2 linked regions of the Oryzias latipes genome follow. The main gene of each other region encodes a partner of the protein of the gene in region 2 in a complex. Links are inferred from orthologs where the notes say so. Each region holds a gene or a part of one and is shown on either strand. Other genes may lie near its edges.

Region 1 (4,277 bases), on a different chromosome or scaffold from region 2:
GGGCGCCGGACACCGAGACACAGGCCACAGACGAGGCCAGGCCCCCGAGAAACCATGATCCGCCCACCACCCAGCCGGAGCCCCGTCTCAGCAAGCCAGCCCCTGCACCCGACCCAAGCAACCCAGAGATCACCGCGCACCCACAACTCCAACCCCGCCCCCCCACCCCCCCACTGCTCTACCCTCTACAACCCTCCTCACCCGCCATATTATCCGACCCCTCCTCCCAAAACCCCCCCTAATGCCCTCCCCACTCTGCAATGGGGAGGGCCCCAGAGGATCCCGGTGAGCCATGCACTCTCCCACACTTGCTCACAATCTCCTGGATGTCCCCCACCCTCCGTCGCCACGCAGTAACCCCTTCTGGTCCGATCGACCCCCAAGCTCGCACGCCCGACCACCACTGCAGCCGACAGGATCCCCACAAGCCTGGCCGCCCTGAGAGGACCAGGCGGGTGAAGGCCGGCCGCCCCTCCCAGACCCCACCGATGTATGGTGGGTGTGTGTGCTGCAGGCAAAATAGGAGGTCTCCAGTGTGGAGGGCCCCACTGCTGCCAAGCAGTAGAGCCCCCCCACTCCGGGGTCCCTCTGTGATTGGTGTGTGCTTGCTTTGTGTGTGCTGCTAACATTCAGTGTGCAGTGTGTGTGTCTAAAATGCTAAATGAATCATCATTTTTTTAGGCCTCTACACGCTTAAAACAATGTCTTCTGTTGTTGCTGCAGCTGTGATTGTCAGGATTCCTTTCAGAATTTTGTTCAATCAATCGTTTTCGGTGACCAAACATATGTGAAAGAATAATCAAAACATTTATACAATTCTATTATTCAGATTTGAAATCCTGATTGGGTGATTGGGATTGAGATTTTTGCAGTTAAAAAAAAGCGTTAGGGTTCATTATCTCTCTCCAACATCAGCAGGAGAAAGATCGGCCCTCATACCCACTTCACTTTGAGCGCCGTTGCGCTCAGTTGTCTTTACGCCCTTTCACTTTATGGCAGAGATGAAACGCTATACTTGTTTGTCAATAGAAAATTACAGAGCCCTTGACATGATATTATATATATATATATATATATATATATATATATATATATATATATATATATATATATATATATATATATATATATATATATATATATATATATATATATATATATTGTTCCCTCAAATAAAAAAGTTGTGGCCACAGCTTAGTGTTTTGTGTGCACAAATTGGTGTTTCGTGACAATAAATTAACATTTCATTAGCATTTTGCGCTCAATCAGTTCAAGTCAAAGTGAACTACACGCGGTAATACCTCTCCCAACCGCTAGAGGGCAGCCGCGCCATCCATGACAACGGAAGCAGGTGCATGAACGTGACACCAGAAAGGAAGTAAATAAAGCGCCTTCCCGCGCAGTCAAATTAGATCAGGAACACCTTTACACTGAAACAAAGAAAATGGATGAGTTGTACTTGGATAATATTGACGAATTTGTGAACGATCACAACAAAATAGTAAGTACAATGTCAGATTGGGTTTTTGTTGCTGTGATGTTTGTAGTTTAGCTTCCCACAAGCCTCGAAGTGCCGAATTGTTTACCTTGTTTTTAAAAACACTCATCATGCGTTGAATTATATTTGCTTTATCTAGAAAGAAGACGAGCTCTGTTTTCTACTCCAACTCATGTATTTGTTGAGGTTATTAATAATTCAGCCATTGAAATGTAGTTTTACTAAACTGCAGAAAAAAATGCTTCTACAGTTGATTAGATTGTCGGTTTCTTAGTTTGAAAAAAACTTTGACTAAAAGAGGCTGATAATTAATATGTTTTATGTTTGTCATCGTATATAAAGCCCAGAATGTTTGTGTAAAGAATTAGTGTGACAGGATCAACCTGATTGATAATCACTGATCTGTTTTCCAGGTTACCTATAAATCGTTGAGTCTGACACTTGGAGTCCATGTAAACACAGCAAAGCAGTAAGTGACCCAGCTTCACTTCGAGTGGTTATTACATTCAGATTTAATCTAAATTAAAATAAAAAGGAAAAGAAGAACGGAGTGTTTTTTAAAGACTCTTAAAATGGTCTCTGTAAAAGTAAATGACCTTCAGTCCAAGTCAAACAAAGCTGCTAAACATTATATGTCCAATTTTAGTATATTTTTAAAATGTTACTATCACCTGCCTAAGAATTTGCATTTTCTTTAAGATTGAATAGAATTGAATAAAACTTTATTGATCCCACAAAGGGGAAATTACCTTTTTACCATGACTCTGTTAAAGGAAATAAAAACTAAAATTACTCTTTAAAAAAGGTGTTGTGTAAACAGATTTAAAGAGAAAAGGTTTAACTTCTTTCTATAAAAACAACAAAGCAGAAATAGATTTTTTAAAATATAATTATTTATGACCTGAAAAAGAAAACATTCGTTTTAATCCTAATAAAATGTGTAAATTGCTAACTTTGCAGAATGCTTTATCATTACTTGGAGCACAAGAGGAAGGAGAGCTCACCTCAGCTGCATGCAACCTACCTGGTAACCGGGAAGTTTGTTGACAACGGTCAAACTGTGAGTAACTGGGACAGCTTCTGTCCAGGACGCTTTGACAGCTCTGTCTGATTCAATTCATGTTTGAAATGTCCTCCTTTCCAGTGTCACAAAGTGTCGATTGTGAGAGAAGATCAGTTGGAAGGTGTGTTGATGCTTTCCGTAGCGCCGTCAAACTGAAGTTTCTTTTCATGATCATTTTTACGAAACGGCAAAGAAAATAACATTTTTGGAGTCCAAATTTTCATTAATGCTTGTTTTTCTGGCACAGTTGGGCTAAAATACTTGATGCTTTCTTTTGCAGATTTCAAATCAAAGATGAGCCTGATAGTCAGCGTTCATGTCTACAGCGTACAGAAAGCTCTGCTGAAAGACAGCGGACCCCTTTACTCCGTCGACTATGACGCCGTGAAAGACCATCTAAAGAACTGCAGCAAGTACGAAGGATTTTGGTGATGCGTGGACAGAAAGCTGCAGATCTAGCAGGTGGTGACCGCTGCCTTCCTCTCTTCCTGCTCCTGCAGGTACAGCGCCATTCAGTGTTCCGGCGCCGTGCCCGTGTCTTCCCTGGAGCGGCAGCAGGCGTTGAAAGCACACAACCCTCCTCAGTCTGAGCCTGGAAACTCTGGGACCAACAGAGAAACCAACCCCGCTTCCAAGGCCCACCCCAGACCGCCAAAAGGCATCATGGGAATGTTTTCAAAGAAATCTGCAGTGAAGAGTCAGAATACAAGCGAAGAAGTCAAACCTGAGCAGAAAGATGAGCCAGCAGTGGTAGGCTGCTGCAGCTTCTTCTTCTTATTCTGCCCCGCAGCAAAAATGTCCCCCCCCACCTAAACTCTCCAAAATAAAATTCTCCCAAAACTCGCTGAAAATACGTTTTGGACGCGGTGAACGACCCACATTTAAAAAAAATCACAACAGGAGAAACTGTCAAAGAAATGAATCAGACCCAAATGTCTTAAAGGGCTGAAAACGTTATATTTCAAAATCATCTAACAAAACCAAGACACACGTATCGGGGAGATCCAGAGAAAGTTTAGAAATGATTATGGGATGGCCATAGGACCTACAGCTTGTTTTGTGGCTATGTGTGAATTTTTGACATTTTTGCACAATAAAGGAAAAAAAACTTTAGTTCGAGCAGTTTTCCCCAACAAAATTTCACATCCAGGCCACCGTCTGAAGTCTATAACCCCAACCAAAGTTTAGTCGAACTTTGACCTCGATAAGAGCCCGCCATCTTGGATTTAAAACCCCTCTCCCATTTGTGGCGGCTACAAACAGGGATTTTGTTGTGTTGAGCATCACCTGAAAGCTGCTAACGGCGTCCGCTTGGCGACTTCACAAAAGGGTTGTTCCTCCGTTTCTCACACATTCTTTACCAGAATATTGGGAAAATTCAATATATGACTCGTTGGCTCAAGCAAACTAACCATATAAATACATGAACATATGAGGAATGTGGGCGCGGATAACAGCCTAGTAAATCCAAAAATGGACTTTTGCTGATTCTTGTAAAACTTCATGGAGCTGTTTGCCTAAATGGGTGCTATGGATATAAAACTAACAGAAAAGCCTCCATTTTACGGGAGGACAAAAGTGTTTTTTGTTTTATTTATCATGAATTTGTGCCATGCTTTATTTAGTGTGTTCCTGTTTTCTGTGTTGCTTCTGGCACCTATGATTATTGTGTTTTGTAGGTGGATACTGCTAAAAACAAGCCAGCTGCAAAAGCCA
Region 2 (3,823 bases):
CTAGAGAGGTGGAGGTTTGCTCTGGAAAGAAGAGGCATGAAGGTCAGTCGTAGTAAGACAGAATACATGTGTCTGAACGAGAGGGATCAAGGTAGAAGTGTTAGGTTACAGGGGGCTGAGGTGAAGAAGGTGCAGGAGTTTAAGTACTTGGGGTCAACAGTTCAGTGTGATGGGGATTGTGGAAAAGAGGTGAAGAGGCGAGTGCAGGCAGGTTGGAGCGGTTGGAGGAAAGTGTCAGGAGTGTTGTGTGACAGAAGAGTGCCAGCAAGACTCAAAGGAAAGGTGTACAAGACAGTGGTGAGACCAGCTCTGCTCTATGGGTTAGAGACGGTAGCAGTGAGACAGAGACAAGAGGCTGAGATGGAGGTAGCAGAGATGAAGATGTTGAGGTTCTCCTTAGGAGTGACCAGGTTAGACAGGATAAGGAACGAGTACATCAGAGGGACGGCTCACGTTGCCTGTGTTAGCGACAAAGTCAGAGAAGCCAGACTGAGATGGTTTGGACATGTTCAGAGGAGGGATAGTGGATATATTGGTAGAAGGATGTTGGAGATGGAGCTGCCTGGCCGGAGGGCAAGAGGACGGCCAAAGAGGAGATATATGGATGTCTTAACAGAGGACATGAAGTTGGCTAACGTTAGGGTAGAAGATGTTCATGATAGAGTGAGGTGGAAAAGGATGATTCGCTGTGGCGACCCCTGATGGGAAAAGCCGAAAGAGAAAGATCTTAATTTCTTTTATCTGTTACAAAGTGTCTCCTTTACCAACAATCACGTCATCTGCTTTGGTCACATCCTTTTTTTTTTTTACTTTATGAAACGGTATTATTTCCTGAAAACAGAGATATTTTGCCAGTCACTGAAACAATTTATTTAAACAATTTTTAGACAGCAATAATAAAACTAAATAAAGTCAACTTTATTTAGAAAGTGCTTAACAACGCTGGGTAAAAACAAAACAACAAACAAAAACAAACAGCATAAAATCAATAAATTAAACAAAAATAAATAAAACCCAATAAAAACCAATAAAGATCTAACTTAAACAGTCGGGAGTCCAAGACCTGATTCTTCAGGCAGCCAACAGTTTCCGGTGAAAATATTTTTATTGATCCCCTCATGTTGTTTCCTAGTTTTTAAATAACTGAACCAAGATGAGTGTGGAACCTCTCTAACAGCAAAGATCCATTATTTTATCAAGTAGAAATTAATAATCCATTGTAACAAATCTCTTTCTTTAAAAAGAAAAAAGGAAAAGTCTGTCCAAAAAGGATATATCTCCATCTAGTGGTTTGATAAAGGAATTACAAACAAACTCAATATTGCAGTTTATTTTGTTTATCAGCGTCTGGAGGACATAGTAAAGCACAGACAGAGCAGATGGGTGTTTTGGGAGACATTTATAAAAAAAACGGACTTTTGAATGTTTTGTGTAGTAATTGCTCACTGGTATTGCCTCTTTTGTTTTTTAAGGCTTCTGTTCCAGTAGATGTAATGCCGGGCCAGTATGATCCAACCAACTACACTCTCCCACAGCAACCTCTTCACCCATGTATGTTCCCCTTATCTTCTGCATACAACACCCTGCAGCTGGTCTCTAATCCATTTGAAGCCAGCATTGATGGAGTGAGGTACGCAGCATCATCATTCACACGATTTTTGTCATCAAGCGTCTTGATGCGTCGGGTTAAGCGTCTTGCTTAACCTGAAATGATCTTGCAGGCGTGTGGAAATTTAGACTCTAGGTTTTACCGAGTACCAGAGCAAATGGCCTAAAGCAGCATCAACCGCTTTATTGTCAGACAAGATTTTCATAGACTGGCCTTTAGGCTGTGATGGACATAAAAACTATTATTTTCTATTTTTAATACTCTGGGTTTGCAACTTTATCAACAATGACTTCCTAACTTGATAAAGGTTGGTAAATGCATATGTTGCTGAGCCTGCTTGTATGGGAGCGACCTATGAATCCATATTTTAAGTAGAGACTTCAATGCAGATTGTTTATTTTTTGAAGTTTCTTCCTCTGTGGCTCTTTTCTGCCTAAATAAATTTTCCAAATATGTTTTTTTGTTGTTGACTTTGCTAGCTTGGGGTTTTCATTTTGGCAGTGATGTACTAAGTGTCACGGATGTGATCAGCGTCTTTGAGAAGGTAGTGGCTGCAGGTAAGACACGTGACCAGGGCGAACCCTTTGACTGAGGGACAGACAGTTTTGGCAGAAAGTTTTCCAAAATAAAACTCAGTTTTGAATCAAATTGCAAGCCATGTATGCTTTTTTGTGAGGCCCGGTACCAATTACTCAGATCCTTCAACGATCAGAGTTTGTACCCTGACCTTAAGAACAAACTGTTAAAGTCCTACTCTGATCATCTTTTGATCTATTTTAAAATCAGTGGTCTTTAAGTATGATTATGCCGTTTTTAGAGGGGGGAAAAACAAGACTTTCTAAGACATCATTTCTGCAGAGCGCCAGGAGTTCATTAGAAATTTGGTTGTGAGTGAGACTGCTGGCACGGTGCCACGGTCCCCACTCTTCCCGTCATCGCTTTGTTTACATTCTGTCCCGCTAGCTTACAGCCCCTCACAACCCCATCCTAACATTAGCAGCGAAACAAAATGGCTTTTTTCAACAGCATTTTTGTCTGCTCCTGATTCACAACAAATTGAAGTAAGAAATATTAAAAAAAAAATCAGAATTTGATCTCAACTTTATTCATATGTGTCCTCCACCATCAGAAAATTACCACAAGAACATTTTTAAAACACCAAAAGCAGGATTTTTATTGGAGTGGGTCTTTAGTTGCTGATTCTGGCCTGGGTTCTTTTTTGGAGCATTATGGGAAAACCTCATGGATCCTCCACATTAAGTCAACAACAGAGGCCTTCATTCAGAAGCTTCCCATCTGCTGTGACAAAGTTATAACGACCGCCAAGCCAATGACTCTGAAGGATTTCAGAAAATAAGTTGGTACAAATGTTCATGCTCACCTTTGGAGACTAGGAAAGTATTTTTGAATCGAGTTGAATATCTGCAGTGGTTCAAACCAAAACACGGAAATCTTTATGAAGCAAATTGCAGTGTTTGCAAAGGTCCTTCAGATTTCTCTCTTGTTTCGACTAAAATCTGAATAATCAAGTCAGTGGTTGTGTCTTTTTCTCAGACGTTTGGTCAATGTCACTAAGTGGTTCCTCATTCATGTATTCACTTACATTGGAGACATTTTCCTCATAGTGAAAACTGTGAGGAAACGGTATTTAACTCCTGAAGTGGCTGCAAGTTTTATTGATATTTTTAAGCAAACTCCTGCTCAGATTTTACCTGCACCTTGTGATTTTATTGTTGGTCATTTTAATAACAGATTCCATAGATGCAGTGGCTTCATTCAAAACAAAAACATTAAGAGCCACTCCTAAAATCCCATGGAAGACTGATGACATTAAGCGTCTGAAGCAGAATTGCAGGAGGGCAGAGAGGAAATACAGGAAGACGAAATTGATAATTCATCAAGACATTTTAAAAGAACAACTCAAAATCTACAATAACTCAGTTAAACGGGCCAGAAGCTCTTATTTTTCAAAAATCATTTCAGAAAATAAAAACAACCCTAAATTTCTTTTTAAAACCATTGATGTTTTAAAAAATAAAGACTTCAACAAGTCCTCCATGCCATCATCTAATGCTGCATGTGAGGACTTCGCAGACCACTTCATGGGTAAAATCAATGCTATAAGATCAAACATTTCATCCATGCAGTACACTGATCTTAACAGACTAGCATTGTTTTTACCAGAAAAACACTGGGGAGTTTTGTCCTGGTTGA

Evidence for each region.
Region 1: pold2 (region 2) and pold3 share a complex: the UniProt entries of both Homo sapiens proteins name them as parts of the both the DNA polymerase delta and DNA polymerase zeta complex. The link is inferred for Oryzias latipes from reciprocal best matches to the Homo sapiens genes POLD2 and POLD3.

What each region holds. Positions count from the first base shown.
Region 1 is NC_019875.2:1,861,880-1,866,156, reverse strand, and holds the start of pold3 (DNA polymerase delta subunit 3), read left to right. Parts: upstream 1-1,345; 5' UTR 1,346-1,444; coding exon 1,445-1,501; intron 1,502-1,911; coding exon 1,912-1,967; intron 1,968-2,458; coding exon 2,459-2,558; intron 2,559-2,642; coding exon 2,643-2,682; intron 2,683-2,841; coding exon 2,842-2,974; intron 2,975-3,061; coding exon 3,062-3,311; intron 3,312-4,240; coding exon 4,241-4,277. UniProt on the Homo sapiens protein: Accessory component of both the DNA polymerase delta complex and the DNA polymerase zeta complex.
Region 2 is NC_019867.2:18,717,260-18,721,082, reverse strand, and holds part of pold2 (DNA polymerase delta subunit 2), read left to right. Parts: intron 1-1,472; coding exon 1,473-1,630; intron 1,631-3,823. UniProt on the Homo sapiens protein: Accessory component of both the DNA polymerase delta complex and the DNA polymerase zeta complex.